2 linked regions of the Canis lupus familiaris genome follow. The main gene of each other region encodes a partner of the protein of the gene in region 2 in a complex. Links are inferred from orthologs where the notes say so. Each region holds a gene or a part of one and is shown on either strand. Other genes may lie near its edges. The genes, in order: GPS2 and HDAC3.

Region 1 (4,575 bases), on a different chromosome or scaffold from region 2:
CTTTACCCTTTCCTGTGGGCTCTCTCCCCGACACATTTGTTAAAATCAAACCTGAATAAAACTACAAGTTTAATATGAAGGCCCCAACTCAGTTGCTTCTTTGAATTAAATGGGTATTTGCTGACTAGAAAGTCAACTTAGAAATTACACATAAACAACTATGCCAAAGAGTTCCCTCTTACCCACCCACCCAGCTTCACCTGTTAGTTGCCTGTCACTCCTCACCCTCCACACAGCCCTGGCCCAGCCCGGGAGGGAGGTGATGCACACAGCAGCAGAGGGGCAGAGGCAGGTAAATTTTATTAGACTGGGACACCAAGTTCCCTCACCCACGTCAGGGGCTGTGGCTGAGGCTGAAGATAAAATCTGATGATCACTTGTGGTAGAATCGTGGATTCTGGCTGTGCTGGATGAAGGGGAGACGAGGGCCAGGCTGGCTGGTGGCTGCGAAGCCCGACTGGTGGCAGAAGTGGGGGGACTTCGTTGGTGTGTACCCTGCCCCTCAATCTACACCCGAACTCCCAGCCATCCCCACCCCAGGAGGAAATGGGAGAGGAGGGGTGGGCGCCGCCTCTCCTACACAATCTGGTTTTCCCCCTGGAAGGGTAGGGCCCCAGCCGGGTCCGACCCCTGGCCTTACCTTTCCTGCTGGCTGCATCTGCACCGGGAGCTGAGGAGAGGCGAGGAGCCCAGGGGCTGGATGCAGAGCCTGTGGGTGCATGGGGCGCAGGGAGGACTACGGAGAAGAGAGTCAGGGTCCGAGGCGGCCTGGGGCACCCCTGGGCCCAGCACTGCCCCTGCCCTGCCCAGGCTCTGTACTCACAGAGTCTGAGAAGCTGGTCTGCTGGTTAGCGTGCTCCATCTGCTTCTGTAAGGACAGGGCACCGCCAGGCTGGAGGAAGCCTACAAAGGGAAGGATGGGTGTGTGGAACGCGGAGGCGGGGAGGACGCTCAGCCCTGGGGCCCTGGCGGGGGCATCCTCACCTGTCTGGGTGGGCTGAAAGTGGCCGTGCACCGTGTAGGGCTGTGGCTGCGGCTGCGACAGGTACTGCACTGCTGGGAACGCCGAAGGTGCTGAGGGAGGCAGGAGGCACAGCCTGTCGAGCCTCCTTCGGGCCTGCCTGGGACCAGCGGCCTCTGGGTCTTGGAGGAAGCGCCCCCCTCCCAACCCACGGCTCACCTCTGAGCTGCTGACTGGGGCTATAGGCCGGCTGCGTGGGTCCGTAGTGAGGCGGGGGCTGCGCGGTCCCATAGGCACTGCCGGGGCTGCCTTGGAACTGGCCATGCTCCGGGGTCCCGGGGAAGGCAGCTGCAGAGCCCACATAGTGTCGCGTCTGAGGAAGGAAGAGGAGCGCTGGCTGCTGCTGGAAACTCCTCCAAAGCAGAACCCCAAGCGCCTTGTATGTGCCCAATTTTCCACCATTTGGTCAAGTGCTGGACAACATTGGTGACTTGAATACTTGTTTAATGCGGGTGCCCGTGTCTGCATGGAAATGGCGGGCTACACACCCAATGCTACTCCTTACTGTAAGCACTTGGGGTCCGAACATCTGTTTGGCCCTGTCAGCCGCCATGAGGGTGCCTGGGCGGTTGTGTCCTCCAGGGCTCCCTAGACAGGGAGACGGGCTTCATGAGGCTGCAGTGGGGTGGCTGCAACCCCCGGGAGGGTGCATTCTAACAAGCGGGTTCTTCATTCCTCACCCTGCATGCTGAGGAGGTGAGTCCCAGTGTGGACGGTCAGGCTCTGCTGGTACGCAGCTGAAGTCAAAGTGGTCAGGTCACTGCAGTGAAAGGCAGGCAGGTCAAAACCAAGAATGAAGACAAGTGCCCCCTCTTTTGCCATCAGACACCCATCTGGTGTTACCCATCCCAGTTACTGTCTCAATTTTATTTTTAGCTCTCCAATCCCACCTCTGCTCCTTTCGCCTCCGTTTCTCTTCTTCATGTAAAACTTTCTTGAGCTGCAGGAAGAGCTGGTGCTTCTCTTCCTGAAGGGCCAACAGCTTCTCCTGCAACTTCAGGATCTGAGAAGGCAGGGGAGAGGAGCTGACGGCAGGAGAGCCAAAGGAGGAAAAAGCTGGGACAGAGCAGGGGGCTGCTTACTTGTTCCTTGGTCTCCTCTAGTGACATTCTCTCCTCCATCTCCTTTTTCTTCCTCCTCTCTTGCTCTTCCTTCATCTTCTGTTCCATCATCTTGTCTACCTCTTCTTCCTCTGGAGAAAGAACCAGGTGCAATGGGAAGAACGCAGGGTGGTTAAAACACTAGGACGTTAGAGATGGAGAAGCGGGGAAACCTGCCGGTGCCAGTGCTCCCTCTGCTCCTCTCCTCCCAGGGGACTGGGAGGGAGGGTATGTCAGGTGCTCTCCAAGGTCCTTCCCGGCCCGAGTCTTCTGGAGCCCGGACCCGGCCTGCAGCTCCCTCCACCAGTGGCGGGCCGTCCCACCCTCCTCCCGCGCGGCCGCGGCGCGGCGCTGTGCCCATGGTGCGGGGCTTGGGGGTCCTCCCCCTCGGCCGGGCTCACCCTGCCGCTTGCGCTCCCGCTCCATCATGATGTGCCGGTGCAACGCCCGGGCCATGGCGTTGGAAAGCTTGGGGCGCTCCAGGAGCGCGGGCATGGTGCCACGGGGGACGCTCGGGCCGTGGGCGCCCGGCTCTGTCACGGACTGCCAGACCTTGGGCCGGGCCTGCCGAGAAGCGGGCGCTTAGGAGGGTCGCGCCCGCGGGCCGAGGCGGAAGCCCGCCTGCCGCCGCCGCCCCGGTCACGTGCCCGGCGCCCACCCTCCGCCGCCCGGCCGGTCCCGGGTGCTCCGGGTGCCCCTGTGCTCCGCGTGCGCCGGCGGGCTGGGGTCTCCGGCCTCGGCGCCGCCCGCCCCTCCCTACCCGCCTTCGCTGCGCTTTCTCCGCGGCTCCTGTGCGCCTCGGCCGCGCGTCACATCCGGCTGCCGGGCCGAGTCCTTCCGGAGCCGGGGCGGCCGGCGGCCTCGCGGGACGGGCGCAGGGAAGGGCGGAAGCGGCTGCGACGGGTGCCGCGGGGGGCCAAACTCCGTCGGCGCGCCGGGCGCCCCCAGCTGGGCAGCCCTGGGGCTCGTCGGGGGGCGGTGCGAGAGGGGGATGAATGAGAAAGAGGCCGAGGCGCGCGCTCTGGGACAGCGTTTATTGGCTCCTTGGAAACCCGCGTCCGTAACAACTGTACAGAGGCCCACCTTCCCCGCGCCCGCCCCCACTCCGCCCGGCGGCCCGGGGAGGCTCCTCGGGATTCACAGTAACAGGAACGAAAACGGAAATAAATTAAGTGATCCGGGGGAGGGAGTCCAGGGAGTCGTGTTCCCCGAGTCAGTGCATGAGGGGAGACTGCCGGCCCCGAGTGGGAGGCGTGGGCCCTGCACGCGGAGATGCGTTCCTGCTCCAGAGATGCGTCGGGCTCTGGGGGCTCCGGGGGCTCGGGGAGCACCCGCCGCGGCAGGGGATGCTAAGCCAGGGCCGGGGGGGCCCCACTGTGCTTGTCGTCCAGAGGCCAGCCCTCACTCCACCCGCACCAGCAGGGCATAGAGGAGTGTGGCCCCCTTCTCCTTGGTTATCCACTCGAGTTCTGCGGGGCTGAAGTGAGGGTCGGGAGGTTCTCGGAGGGTGGCCGAAGGGGGTCCGGGGGTGTAGGAGCCCGGGCGCACGCACACCTGGAACGCCACCTGGGCCTGGTGCGTTCGCTGGGACTTGGGATCCCGGAATCTGCAGGGCAAGAAGAAGGCCAGCCGTGAGGCCTCCAGGCTCCTCCCTCGGCTGCCTGCGGGGGGGGGGGGAGGGGGGGGGTCACTCCCACCTCCCAGAGAGAGGTGGCTTGGCTCTGGCCGCACCCCTGCTTGCTGGGGTCTCTCCAGGGCGCTCCCTGGCTTCCCTCTGCAGGCCTCTGCCCAAACCTAACCTTCGTCGCCATGTCTACCCTGACTACTGTGTGCCTGTACCTGTGCAAAGCACACCTGGGACCCACTGCGTCCCACTCTACTTTTATTTCCACAGTACTAGTCACCTTCAACAGTAAATGTGCTAGAGTGAGACAAGACCCAAGTGTCACAGCGGGGACACCAATGGGAAGCCATGGAGACCCCAGTCCCAGCCCCCATGTACTCACTGCACTTTGGACGCTAGGGTCTCGGCCCCAGCATACTGGAGGGAGGGGGACAGCAAGACGGAAGGGGGCTGCTCCTCCCGGGGTGGGGCGCAGTTCTCGCCAGGCTCCTCAAACCCCACCCCAGGCTTGCCTTTCAAGGGCCGGCAGCTCAGGATGGAGGCGGTGCCTGCGGGGAGAGCCAGTCAGGATGGAGGCGGTGCCTGCAGGGAGAGCCTCCTGGCCCAGGCCTGGCTTGCCCCTTCTCTGCCCCTGCCCCCGGACCTGCTCCCAGCTCTCCTCGGTCTAGCACCCTCCGGATGGCTGCCACGTTGCTCCCGTGATATGCCATGTGCCACTTCTTAGTCATCGTTCCAGCTTCCAGGCGGGGATTCACCCTAGGGTGTAGACCGGGCAGACTGGACAAAGATCCTCCCCTCGACCAGTAAAGGTTCTGTGGCTTCTTCCACGC
Region 2 (3,799 bases):
TGTGGCAGTATCATGCAGTGGTCCTTACCACTATAGGGAAGCTCCTCACTAATGGCCTCTTCTACCAGCAGTGATGTTTCATATGTCCTGAAACAAAGCAGCAGAGTGGGCTACCTGAGCAAGTGGACTGAAGGGCCTATCTGGCCACATCTCAGGGAGCCCGCAACTCACCAACTCGCATTGGATAAGAAAGAAGAGAAAAATCAGGAAGCATACTCACCAGCAGCGGGCAACATTTCGGACAGTATAGCCACCACCACCTAGCACCAGTAGAGGGATATTGAAGCTCTTGACATATTCGACACATTCTCTGTTAAAAGGAACCAAAGGAATGGCTGGAGGAAGTTATCAAAAGCCAAAGTATAGCTCTCTAGGTATTGCCTGGAAAGGGCACAAGGGAACTAGAAAAGATTCCGTATCTTGATCTAGGTAGTGAAATTCACTGAGTTGTACCCTTGAGATATGTGTACTTTAATATATGTATGTAGGCCTGTGACGGCCCCAGTCCAAATAAAGTCCTGCGTGTGGAGCAAGAAAAAAAAATATATATATATGTATGTTGTGTCTCAGTAAAAATTGAAATGAGGACCTTCCCACCTCCCTCCTGCTCAATACCCATCCTGGCATCTCATTTGTTAACCAACTATTCTCATCAAAGCACCAGCAAGTGCTGTCAGCTCCAGCCTCTAAAATATAACTCAAATCACCTACTTCTCATTGGCCATCTCCACCTAAGCCCAGGTACCACATCTGCTGCCTGGACAACACCAAGGGATTCCTAACTGGCCTTCTCATTTTCACTCCTGTCCCCTACCCCTACCCTAAACCTTCCTCCATTCACCAATCAGAGCAGTAGCTTTATTTTTTTTCTTAAAGATTTTATTTATTTATTCATGAGAGACACAGGGAGAGAGAAATAGAGAGAGGCAAAGACACAGGCAGAGGGAGAAGCAGGCTCCATGCAGGGAGCCCAATGTGGGACTTGATCCCGGGACCCCAGGATCACACCTGGGCTGAAGGCAGGCACTAAACCACTGAGCCACCCAGGGATGCCCCAAGCAGTAGCTTTAAAACATGAATTGGATCATGTCACTTCCCTGTTTAACATCTTCCAACAGTTTCCCATCATATCTGAAATGCAATCCAGAATTCTCACCAGGGTCTAACGGCTCTGCACAATCTTACCACTGCCAACTTCTTAGGCCAACCTTACCACACCTCCAGCTTGCGGAGATGGTTTGACATGTGTTCTTGTCTGACTGCTTTTACTTCACATCCTCAGCTACACCAGCTCTCCCATGTCTCAGTGTCTCTCTGCCTGAGAGTGACTCTCTTATTCTTCCTATGGCCCATTCACCAACTACCCCTACCTACTCCATGTACTGAGACCCAAAGCCACTTTGAAAACCTGGGGGCAGAGATGGAGGGCAAGTCTCACCCATGTCCTCGAATGCTGAGGTTGAAGCAGCCCAAACGGTCACAGCCCAGAGAGTCCGCTCCACACTGCAAAAAAGCAAAACCCCAGGCAGCTGCAGGGGGATAACTGACCAGAATGTCCCAGATGTCCTTCACTTCACTTCCCCAATAAACACAAGGGCTATCCTCCTCCCTGCTCTCTTCCCCTAAGCCCAAGCAGAACCCTCTTGAGGAGGCACCTAGAGTATTACCTGGAGCACAATGCACGTGGGTTGGTAGAAGTCCACCACCTGGTTGATAACTGGCTGGAAAAGGTGCTTGTAACCTGAGAGAGGGCCAAAGGTGGGTACCTGGCACCCCAAGGGGATGGGGAGACAGGGAACAAAAGGAAAAAAGGGGTTGAGCGAGCATGTAGCCCAGGGAAAGGGGCAACCCAAAGAACCAAATCAATGGTTCTCAACTTTTGGATGGGGTCCCAGAGCATTCTGAGTGACTAATGAAAGCCAATGACCCTTTTCCCAGAAAAATGCACATACACCTAATATGTTGCATACAATTTCCGGGGGAGGGAGGGGTGGTTAATGGTCCCTCTGAAGGCCATTCATCCTTAAGGACACCTGGCCCAACAGTAGACAATACCAGGCAGAAGAGGTTAATTTAAAGAGAGGAAGAAGGGGCCTAGTAAGCAGGGAAAAGACTTCAATACTTACTCTGGTCATCAATGCCATCCCGCAAGGGCACATTGAGACAGTAGTAACGGCCACTCTCTGCTCCAACTTCATACATATCACCTATAGGGAGGTGGGAGGAGGGGGTAGGAGCCATACACAGGAAGTACCCACAACGCAGCTGCCTTAACTTCAATCTGTACACTGAGGGCCTCTCACTATATCTATGTACCTCCACTGCATGTTCCCTATAGACATTTACTCTCTTGTGGCTTACATTCATTCAACAAATAATCTTTGAGGGCCTACCATGAGCCAACCTGTGCAGTAGATACTGGGGATATAGCAATAGAGAGAATGGATGAAATTAATGAAATCCCACCAAGCTTATATTCTTGGGGGGTGGGCATGATGAAACAAGACAGTAAACAAAACAAAACACTGCAATAAATACAAGCAGCAATGAGTGCTCTGAGAGAAGCAAGCAGTGACATGGGGTAGTAATGGGGAAGGAGGGATTACTCTAACTGTGGTGGTGAGGACACACTTCTCTGAGAAGTCACCTGAGCCAAGACCTGAAGGCTGAGCAGGAGGCTATCACGGTAAAGAGTTGAGGGTGTGAAGGGGATGATCATCCTTATTCCCATACCTGTGCCAGGAAAGAAGTAGTTTCCGTATTTGTGGAAAGAAACTGTCATGACCCGGTCAGTGAGGTAGAACGCTTCCTGAACTCCATCACCATGGTGGATGTCAATATCAATGTAGAGCACCCGAGGGTGGTACCTGGAATGAGAGCCAAGCCAGGGTCTGAGGTAGAAGGGAACCCCAGCAAGAACACCCCCAATTCACACCTCCCAAAACAAGATCTGGAATTACGAAGATTCTACTTAAGCCCAAATCACCTGAAACCTAATACCAGTTCCCTATAGGCAACGCTGGGACTCTTGCCTGGAGGCAGGGACAGGAGAGGGATGTGCAGAGAAGACTGAAATGTGAGTGGGCAGCAGGGAGTCTGCAGCAGAGCAGGGAATAGGTAGTCTGAGTAAAGCACTAAAAACTATGAAGAAGCTAGTGTAGGGGCAGAGGAAAGGGTCAGGGCCAGCATAGTGTAATAGAACTCCTCGGCCATGGGTCTCATATCCCTCCATCTCCTCCCAGGCTACTTACTTGAGCAGCTCCAAGATGCCAATCACAATGTCATTGACATAGCAGAAGCCAGAGGCCTATGGTGAGACAGTGGTCTTACGAAGAGAGTAACAATTCCTCTACCCAGCTGCCCCTGATGTCATCCCGACCACCTATGCTAGGGCACTCATTGTCTCCCCCATCACCTCTTCACTCACCTCAAACTTCTTGGCATGGTGGAGACCACCAGCCCAGTTAATGGCAATATCACAGATCTGAAAAACAAACACCGAGCTCATAGTCCTACTTGCCCACCCCCAAAGCTGGAAGCTCAGGGTCAGGGTTAAGGCCTTGAGCTGGAAGGGCCCATAGGAAAGGGAGAACAGGACTCAGGGCCACAGGCACCTTGTTGTTCAGCTGGGTTGCTCCTTGCAGAGATGCGCCTGTGTAACGAGAACAGAACTCGAAGAGCCCGGGAAACACTGGGCTGCAGGAAAGAGAAGTAAGTCAGAGCCCTTTACCTCTCTCTAGGCCCTTCCTACACCTCTCCCCTGACCCCAAACTCCTCTAACCCCCATTCTTCAATAAAC

The links.
Region 1: HDAC3 (region 2) and GPS2 share a complex: the UniProt entries of both Homo sapiens proteins name them as parts of the N-Cor repressor complex. The link is inferred for Canis lupus familiaris from reciprocal best matches to the Homo sapiens genes HDAC3 and GPS2.

The regions. Positions count from the first base shown.
Region 1 is NC_049226.1:32,479,219-32,483,793, forward strand, and holds GPS2 (G protein pathway suppressor 2), read right to left. Parts: upstream 3,001-4,575; 5' UTR 2,882-3,000; intron 2,686-2,881; 5' UTR 2,617-2,685; coding exon 2,523-2,616; intron 2,214-2,522; coding exon 2,104-2,213; intron 2,025-2,103; coding exon 1,912-2,024; intron 1,782-1,911; coding exon 1,702-1,781; intron 1,610-1,701; coding exon 1,527-1,609; intron 1,335-1,526; coding exon 1,181-1,334; intron 1,075-1,180; coding exon 985-1,074; intron 904-984; coding exon 824-903; intron 737-823; coding exon 641-736; intron 458-640; coding exon 374-457; 3' UTR 282-373; downstream 1-281. Other genes in the region: NEURL4 (neuralized-like protein 4), read right to left, coding at 3,523-3,727, 4,128-4,293, 4,389-4,501. UniProt on the Homo sapiens protein: Key regulator of inflammation, lipid metabolism and mitochondrion homeostasis that acts by inhibiting the activity of the ubiquitin-conjugating enzyme UBE2N/Ubc13, thereby inhibiting 'Lys-63'-linked ubiquitination.
Region 2 is NC_049223.1:35,735,156-35,738,954, forward strand, and holds part of HDAC3 (histone deacetylase 3), read right to left. Parts: intron 3,697-3,799; coding exon 3,615-3,696; intron 3,485-3,614; coding exon 3,428-3,484; intron 3,308-3,427; coding exon 3,252-3,307; intron 2,868-3,251; coding exon 2,734-2,867; intron 2,208-2,733; coding exon 2,127-2,207; intron 1,742-2,126; coding exon 1,668-1,741; intron 1,504-1,667; coding exon 1,439-1,503; intron 525-1,438; exon of another isoform or gene 311-524; coding exon 221-310; exon of another isoform or gene 88-220; coding exon 29-87; exon of another isoform or gene 1-28. UniProt on the Homo sapiens protein: Histone deacetylase that catalyzes the deacetylation of lysine residues on the N-terminal part of the core histones (H2A, H2B, H3 and H4), and some other non-histone substrates.